Saccharomyces cerevisiae S288C: one gene and its partner. The protein of the gene in region 1 binds, or shares a complex with, the protein of each later gene. Each region holds a gene or a part of one and is shown on either strand. Other genes may lie near its edges.

Region 1 (5,670 bases):
AACGTAACTACCTCTCTTGATAGCATCTTCAACAGTGAACAAGTTCTTGCCTGGAACCCAACCGTCTTCGATGGCAGCCTTCCAAGAAGCACCATCTTTACGGACACCAATGATAACGTTCAAACCGTTGTCTCTCAAGTTCAAACCTTGACCGTAACCTTGGGAACCGTAACCGATCAAAGCAAAAGTGTCGTTCTTGAAGTAGTCCAACAACTTTTCTCTTGGCCAGTCAGCTCTTTCGTAGACGGTTTCAACAGTACCACCGAAGTTGATTTGCTTCAAACCACGGGTAGTGATCATTGGCTTAACGAAACGGGCAGCTGGTCTGCTGTAAGCAGCAGCACGGGTGGCCAAAGCAAAGGTTCTCTTAGCAGTGATGACACGGGAGTTGCAGATCAATCTGGCGGCTTGAGTTCTCAACATGTTTTATTTTTTACTTATATTGCTGGTAGGGTAAAAAAATATAACTCCTAGGAATAGGTTGTCTATATGTTTTTGTCTTGCTTCTATAATTGTAACAAACAAGGAAAGGGAAAATACTGGGTGTAAAAGCCATTGAGTCAAGTTAGGTCATCCCTTTTATACAAAATTTTTCAATTTTTTTTCCAAGATTCTTGTACGATTAATTATTTTTTTTTTGCGTCCTACAGCGTGATGAAAATTTCGCCTGCTGCAAGATGAGCGGGAACGGGCGAAATGTGCACGCGCACAACTTACGAAACGCGGATGAGTCACTGACAGCCACCGCAGAGGTTCTGACTCCTACTGAGCTCTATTGGAGGTGGCAGAACCGGTACCGGAGGAGACCGCTATAACCGGTTTGAATTTATTGTCACAGTGTCACATCAGCGGCAACTCAGAAGTTTGACAGCAAGCAAGTTCATCATTCGAACTAGCCTTATTGTTTTAGTTCAGTGACAGCGAACTGCCGTACTCGATGCTTTATTTCTCACGGTAGAGCGGAAGAACAGATAGGGGCAGCGTGAGAAGAGTTAGAAAGTAAATTTTTATCACGTCTGAAGTATTCTTATTCATAGGAAATTTTGCAAGGTTTTTTAGCTCAATAACGGGCTAAGTTATATAAGGTGTTCACGCGATTTTCTTGTTATGTATACCTCTTCTCTGAGGAATGGTACTACTGTCCTGATGTAGGCTCCTTAAATTGGTGGGCAAGAATAACTTATCGATATTTTGTATATTGGTCTTGGAGTTCACCACGTAATGCCTGTTTAAGACCATCAGTTAACTCTAGTATTATTTGGTCTTGGCTACTGGCCGTTTGCTATTATTCAAGTCTTTTGTGCCTTCCCGTCGGGTAAGGGAGTTATTTAGGGATACAGAATCTAACGAAAACTAAATCTCAATGATTAACTCCATTTAATCCTTTTTTGAAAGGCAAAAGAGGTCCCTTGTTCACTTACAACGTTCTTAGCCAAATTCGCTTATCACTTACTACTTCACGATATACAGAAGTAAAAACATATAAAAAGATGTCTGTTTGTTTAGCCATCACAAAAGGTATCGCAGTTTCTTCTATAGGCCTCTACTCTGGTCTTTTGGCTTCCGCTTCATTGATTACATCTACTACTCCACTAGAGGTTTTAACAGGATCCCTTACTCCCACTTTAACCACTTTGAAAAATGCGGCCACCGCCTTGGGAGCGTTTGCGTCAACTTTCTTTTGTGTGAGCTTTTTCGGCGCTCCTCCCTCATTGAGACACCCCTACTTACTCTATGGTATGCTTGTAGCTCCATTATCTTCATTTGTTCTAGGATGTGCCTCCAACTATCAGTCTAGAAAGTACAGTAAAGTCTCTAAGGAATCTTCTTTATTTCCCGAAGACAGCAAACTCGCTGCTTCCGAACTGAGCGATTCTATTATTGATTTAGGTGAAGACAACCATGCTTCAGAAAATACACCTCGAGACGGGAAGCCTGCAGCAACCACAGTATCAAAGCCGGCAGAGGCATTGCACACCGGTCCCCCAATCCATACTAAAAATCTAATTGCAGCAACTGCTATTGCTATTGTTGGCTTTGTACAAGCCGTTATTGGCGTTTATGGGGAAGGACAATTTATCTAGTGTTTCTCGTTCACGTATTTATCTCTACAAGAATTTGTAGCTGCCTGAACTCGGCTCCTCTCTCTCTCCAAAAATAAAGTGTGTAGTAATTTGCAGTTTTTTTATATATTCCTACGAGTTTTCAAACGTTCAAAAGACAGTATGTTCAAAAATTGTGCATACACACACGTATGCACATATATACATAATAATACACTGTAATAAGCACATTTGTAGGTGCTCTTGCACTTGGTTTATTACTGTCACTGACTTTTCTCACCCGGCCGAGAGTCGTGCGAAAATTCGCATGTTAAAGTGAGAAAATAGAGAAAACAACACAGCTGAAAAAAGTATTGGTAACAGTTCAATACGTGATCAAATATACAGCACGTCGCGCAGAACCAGACGAAGCGGAGAATATTCTACATTGACAGTGCATGATGCCTGATGACAATTCAAACTCGTCCACTCAAAACTCAAGCGCATTATACAAGGACCTGAGGAAAGAATATGAATCTCTTTTCACTTTAAAGGAAGATTCTGGGTTAGAGATTTCACCAATATTCAATGTCCTTCCACCTAAAAAGGATTATCCTGACTACTACGCAGTGATCAAGAACCCTGTATCTTTCAATACTTTAAAAAAGCGTATTCCACATTATACAGATGCTCAACAGTTTATGAACGATGTTGTCCAGATTCCATGGAATGCCAAGACTTACAATACAAGAGATTCAGGAATTTATAAATACGCCTTAGTCCTTGAGAAATATTTAAAGGACACAATCTATCCAAATTTAAAAGAAAAATATCCTCAATTAGTGTATCCTGATTTGGGTCCTCTACCCGATGAACCAGGTTATGAAGAGTTTCAACAGAAATTAAGAGAAAAAGCTGAGGAAGTAGCGAGAGCTAATGCAGCCAGAGCCGAGTCGAGCTCTTCAATGAATTCAACAGAAGCAGCCAGAAGATTAAGAAAGACTCGTACTTCCGTCAAAAGAGAATCAGAACCAGGAACCGATACAAATAATGATGAGGACTATGAGGCGACGGATATGGATATCGATAACCCTAAGGATGCTGATTTTCCTGATTTGATAAGAAAGCCACTAATAAATATTAATCCATATACTCGGAAACCATTAAGAGACAACAGGTCCACTACTCCATCTCACTCAGGCACCCCTCAGCCGTTAGGCCCAAGGCATAGACAGGTATCCAGAACTCAGGTAAAGCGTGGGAGACCCCCAATCATCGACTTACCGTATATTCAAAGAATGAAAAATGTTATGAAAGTACTAAAAAAAGAGGTGCTAGATAGTGGAATTGGTCTAACTGATCTTTTTGAAAGATTGCCCGATAGACACAGAGATGCAAATTACTACATCATGATTGCTAATCCAATTAGTCTTCAAGACATAAATAAAAAGGTAAAGACTCGTCGTTATAAAACGTTCCAGGAGTTCCAGAATGATTTTAATCTTATGTTAACCAACTTTAGAATTTCGCACAGAGGTGATCCTGAAAGCATAAAAATTTCAAATATCTTAGAAAAGACCTTTACTAGTCTGGCAAGATTCGAACTATCCAAACCTGATAGAAGTTTCATTCCAGAAGGCGAGCTAAGATACCCTCTAGATGAAGTCATTGTAAATAATATATCATACCACGTGGGAGATTGGGCACTTCTTCGAAATCAAAATGATCCTCAAAAACCTATAGTGGGCCAAATATTCAGGCTATGGAAGACACCAGATGGGAAACAATGGTTAAACGCTTGTTGGTATTACAGACCCGAACAAACTGTGCATAGAGTGGATAGATTGTTTTACAAAAACGAAGTTATGAAAACAGGTCAGTACCGTGATCATTTAGTGTCAAACTTAGTTGGGAAATGCTATGTGATTCACTTTACTAGATATCAACGTGGTAATCCCGATATGAAATTGGAGGGTCCCTTGTTCGTTTGCGAATTCCGTTATAATGAATCCGATAAAATTTTTAACAAGATTAGAACCTGGAAGGCTTGCTTACCAGAGGAAATTCGTGATTTGGACGAAGCTACCATTCCGGTAAATGGTAGAAAGTTCTTCAAATATCCTTCCCCCATAAGACATCTACTACCAGCTAATGCAACGCCGCATGATCGCGTTCCTGAACCAACGATGGGATCCCCGGACGCGCCACCATTGGTCGGTGCCGTTTATATGAGACCTAAAATGCAGCGTGACGATTTGGGGGAATATGCAACCTCTGATGACTGTCCCAGGTATATTATCAGACCCAACGATTCTCCCGAAGAGGGACAAGTGGATATAGAAACAGGTACGATCACCACAAACACGCCAACAGCAAATGCTCTTCCTAAAACAGGATACTCAAGTAGTAAACTATCCAGTTTAAGATATAACAGGTCATCTATGTCTTTAGAAAACCAAAATGCTATTGGCCAGCAACAAATACCACTGTCAAGAGTTGGTTCCCCTGGCGCGGGAGGCCCGCTTACTGTACAAGGTTTAAAGCAACACCAATTGCAAAGGTTACAACAGCAGCAACATCAATACCAACAACAGAAAAGATCCCAAGCATCACGTTATAATATCCCAACAATAATCGATGATTTAACATCGCAGGCATCAAGAGGTAATTTGGGTAATATAATGATCGATGCAGCCTCCTCGTTTGTCTTACCTATCTCTATAACCAAAAACGTAGATGTTTTGCAGCGTACTGATCTGCACAGCCAAACCAAGAGATCTGGAAGAGAAGAGATGTTTCCATGGAAAAAAACAAAGGGTGAAATATTATGGTTCAGAGGACCTAGTGTGATAGTAAATGAACGAATAATAAATTCAGGTGACCCACACCTAAGCCTGCCACTGAATAGGTGGTTTACCACTAACAAGAAAAGAAAACTAGAATACGAAGAAGTTGAAGAAACCATGGAAGATGTGACTGGAAAGGACAAAGATGATGATGGCTTAGAACCGGATGTTGAAAATGAGAAAGAGTCCTTGCCAGGCCCATTTGTCCTTGGATTAAGACCCTCGGCTAAGTTCACGGCGCACAGACTCTCTATGCTGCGGCCTCCTTCGTCGTCTTCATGATCACCTTTATTGTAAAAGCAATGGCAGCATAATATCTTCCCATTGCGCATTACCCTCCGCGAGCAGAGTCAAACTTCAAACAAAGCAGGAAAATGAAATAAAACAGAAGTTATTATATAGAAGAAAGTCATCTATAGATATATTATCGTTGTATTAATAGTAGCCATATAAAACAATTATACTTCATCACCAACCTCTCAAAATTTCTTCCCCAAGGACCAAAGCTTTTCCAGTAAGTTGCTACAACTAAAGTGAAATAAACTATCCGAATTATATAAAAGATGCCTGACTATGACAATTACACTACGCCATTGTCTTCTAGATATGCCTCCAAGGAAATGTCAGCAACGTTTTCTTTGAGAAACAGATTTTCCACATGGAGAAAACTATGGTTAAATTTGGCTATTGCTGAGAAGGAATTGGGCTTAACTGTTGTTACAGATGAAGCAATTGAGCAAATGCGCAAACACGTCGAAATCACTGATGATGAAATCGCAAAA
Region 2 (2,982 bases), on another chromosome or scaffold:
CAATTCTTCAATTTGAAAACTAGAGGGTTCAATGCACTTATGCTGTGTACCTGCATGGTAATCGTTTGGTTGTACTTTATCTGTTGGGGTCTAAGTGATGGTGGTAACCGTATTCAACCAGACGGTGAGGCTATCTTTTATGGTGTTTTGGATTTATGTGTATTTGCCATTTATCCATGTTACTTGCTAATTGCAGTCAGCCGTGATGGCAAATTGCCAAGGCTATCTTTGACAGGAGGATTCTCTCATCACCATGCTACGGACGATGTGGAAGATGCGGCTCCTGAAACAAAAGAAGCTGTTCCAGAGAGCCCAAGAGCATCTGGAGAGACTGCAATCCACGAACCCGAACCTGAAGCAGAGCAAGCTGTCGAAGATACTGCTTAGAGCAGCTTGAGATTGTCTTAATCATTCTTTGCTTAACACATTTCAAAACATCAGTTTTCTTCTTTTAATGTCACTAATGAAACTTAATATTTAATAATCTAATTTTAATTTCTTTATGAAATATGCAAAATAAATTATATACACAAACACAATAATTAATAATCTAATCTCATTTTTCCAAAATCAAGAAATGTTCTTACTGCTTCCATGCCTGAATAGTCTAATCGATAGTAGGCCATTTCAATTCTTTTTAGTTATATGGAGACGCAAACACCACTTTATTTTAGCGTACCCTACCAAAATTAAACGATAATATGGTATTTTTATTCTCATTTGTTACACTCTATTCTGTATCACTGGATACATTCGCGGTAACTTGTTTTATAAAGTGAGATGGGATTTATGACCATTAGATGCATATAAAAGCTTCCAAATAATAATAAGATATTGTGACTTTTGGTGAACTAGATACGCTTTGAAATTCTTCATTTGTAATGAAGCAGGATTCACATTCAATATTTTGTAGCTTACAATTGTGAATGTTGCGTTTTCCTACTTTTTCCTTTCATTTTTCAAAGCATCGAGCATTTTTTTCATTTCTTCCAAACTCATCCTTTGCCTTTCAGGATTGATAATACTATTGTGTCTTTCCGTACTTTCTACCAAGTTCAATAACTCGCATATGTTTTCTCTTTGAGATAATAACTGAAATGCTGTTAAATTTTTCAGCGTTACATTGTTGTAAGCTCTTTCAGGATTCATTGAGCTGATTGTGTTGTTCTGTGACATACGATATACTGATACTCTGTTCTAAATAACACAATCCTTTCGTTCTATCATAAAATTCAATGTTATAGGCTCATTTTGTGCATCTTATGTGGCGGATTAATTTTTTTTTTTTCAAAAAATATCTCGCGAAGTGCATGAGTTCTGACTATTTTTTAAATGCGATGATATCATTGATAGGGTGAAGATAGTCTTCAACAAACTTAGTAAGGGGCACCAAAGCGTCATGGACATCTTGAAACTGTCAGATTTTATTGGAAATACTTTAATAGTTTCCCTTACAGAAGATCGTATTTTAGTTGGAAGCTTGGTTGCTGTAGATGCCCAAATGAATTTGCTATTAGATCATGTTGAGGAACGTATGGGCTCCAGTAGTAGAATGATGGGCCTAGTCAGCGTCCCTAGGCGTTCCGTTAAGACCATAATGATTGATAAGCCTGTTCTGCAGGAGCTTACTGCGAATAAAGTTGAATTGATGGCTAATATTGTTTAGCGCATATGGTTCTAATAGTTTCCATAGTAACAATTGCTTGGCAAAAAAGGTCTGGCTTCGAAAGATATATAAACGAATATGAACTGGACTGAACTTAGATATTTTTTTCTGTATTAACTAAAATTTAGCGCAAATAATAACAATATCAACAATATCTGCAAGGAAGAACAATGAGCTGTACCACTGATAAGTTAATACAAAAGTACGACGCCCTTGTTAGGAAAACCACAGAACATAAATTCGCTAAGGAACTATGTGCCGGAACATTGAAGGACCGTAGTTTGTACATCTATTTATCACAAGATCTGCAATTTTTTGAAACTAGCTTAAGGTTGATATGTAAGACGACTTCTTTAGCACCAACTACTCACGCTTTAATAACCTTAGCCAAAAAGATTGGATTTTTTTCTAATGATGAAAACTCATACTTTCATGACTGCTTAGAATTATTGGCACCATCCCTCACCAAGGAAGAAAGAGATAATTTTGACAATAAAGCGATCCCCGGCGTTGATGCGTATATTAATTTCTTAGATGAGCTGAGAAAGGACGCCTCAATTACATGGCCATCCTTAGTAACCAGCTTATGGGTTGCTGAGGAACTCTATTGGAGATGGGCTCGTGATACTCCTAGAGCCCCAGGGTTGCATTGGAAATATCAAAAATGGATTGATTTACATGATGGTGAGCATTTTCAAACTTGGTGTGAATTTCTAAAGGCTGAAGTTGACAAGTTTCCCGTCGAAGAAGTGGAAAGCATATTTGTGAAGGTTTCACAGTTCGAGTTCGAATTTTTTGAATCTTGTTACAACGCCTAATCTCAAGTAGTATATAACACTTACTTATATATATATATGTATATTTTTGCAGAAAAATAAGAGCAATGAACAAGCTGATATGATCATCGTGTTAGACTTTTGTAAAGATCGTTTATATTATATTGAAGACCGGACTGTGAAAGGTAAAATTTCAGTCTATCCAAGAATGTGATTCCGTTCCAGGTTTTAGCAATTGGATCGTACCTCGGTATTCCGAATTGTTCAATTATTGCGCCTGCAGCGATGTTCCCACATATACTAGCAATATCTAAGCTTTTCGTTAGGGCATAAGAAACTGCAAAGCCGCCAAGGAACGAGTTTCCCCCGCCAGTAGGATCTAGTACTTTAGACTGAGTTTTGAAATGGTAGGCGGGGAAATGGTCATAGGTTCGTCCGTTCTTAAACTTCTCACTTACCGATATGCTTCCGAGGGCACCGCATCGTAGAATACACATATTGTTTTCATCCATGAAATCATCGAAACGATGCGCTAATGCT

Evidence for each region. The genes of interacting proteins can lie anywhere in the genome.
Region 2: RSC2 (region 1) and HTL1 share a complex: the UniProt entries of both Saccharomyces cerevisiae proteins name them as parts of the two forms of the RSC complex.

Annotation. Positions count from the first base shown.
Region 1 is NC_001144.5:838,831-844,500, forward strand, and holds RSC2 (Rsc2p), read left to right. Parts: upstream 1-2,500; coding exon 2,501-5,170; downstream 5,171-5,670. Other genes in the region: ILV5 (ketol-acid reductoisomerase), read right to left, coding at 1-423; ATG33 (Atg33p), read left to right, coding at 1,491-2,084; YLR358C (uncharacterized protein), read right to left, coding at 4,657-5,220; adenylosuccinase ADE13, read left to right, coding at 5,452-5,670. UniProt on the Saccharomyces cerevisiae protein: Component of the chromatin structure remodeling complex (RSC), which is involved in transcription regulation and nucleosome positioning. RSC is responsible for the transfer of a histone octamer from a nucleosome core particle to naked DNA.
Region 2 is NC_001135.5:153,514-156,495, reverse strand, and holds HTL1 (Htl1p), read right to left. Parts: upstream 1,177-2,982; coding exon 940-1,176; downstream 1-939. Other genes in the region: HSP30 (Hsp30p), read left to right, coding at 1-387; MAK31 (Mak31p), read left to right, coding at 1,400-1,666; PET18 (Pet18p), read left to right, coding at 1,837-2,484; MAK32 (Mak32p), read right to left, coding at 2,568-2,982. UniProt on the Saccharomyces cerevisiae protein: Required for cell cycle progression through G2/M transition at temperatures higher than 33 degrees Celsius. Component of the chromatin structure-remodeling complex (RSC), which is involved in transcription regulation and nucleosome positioning.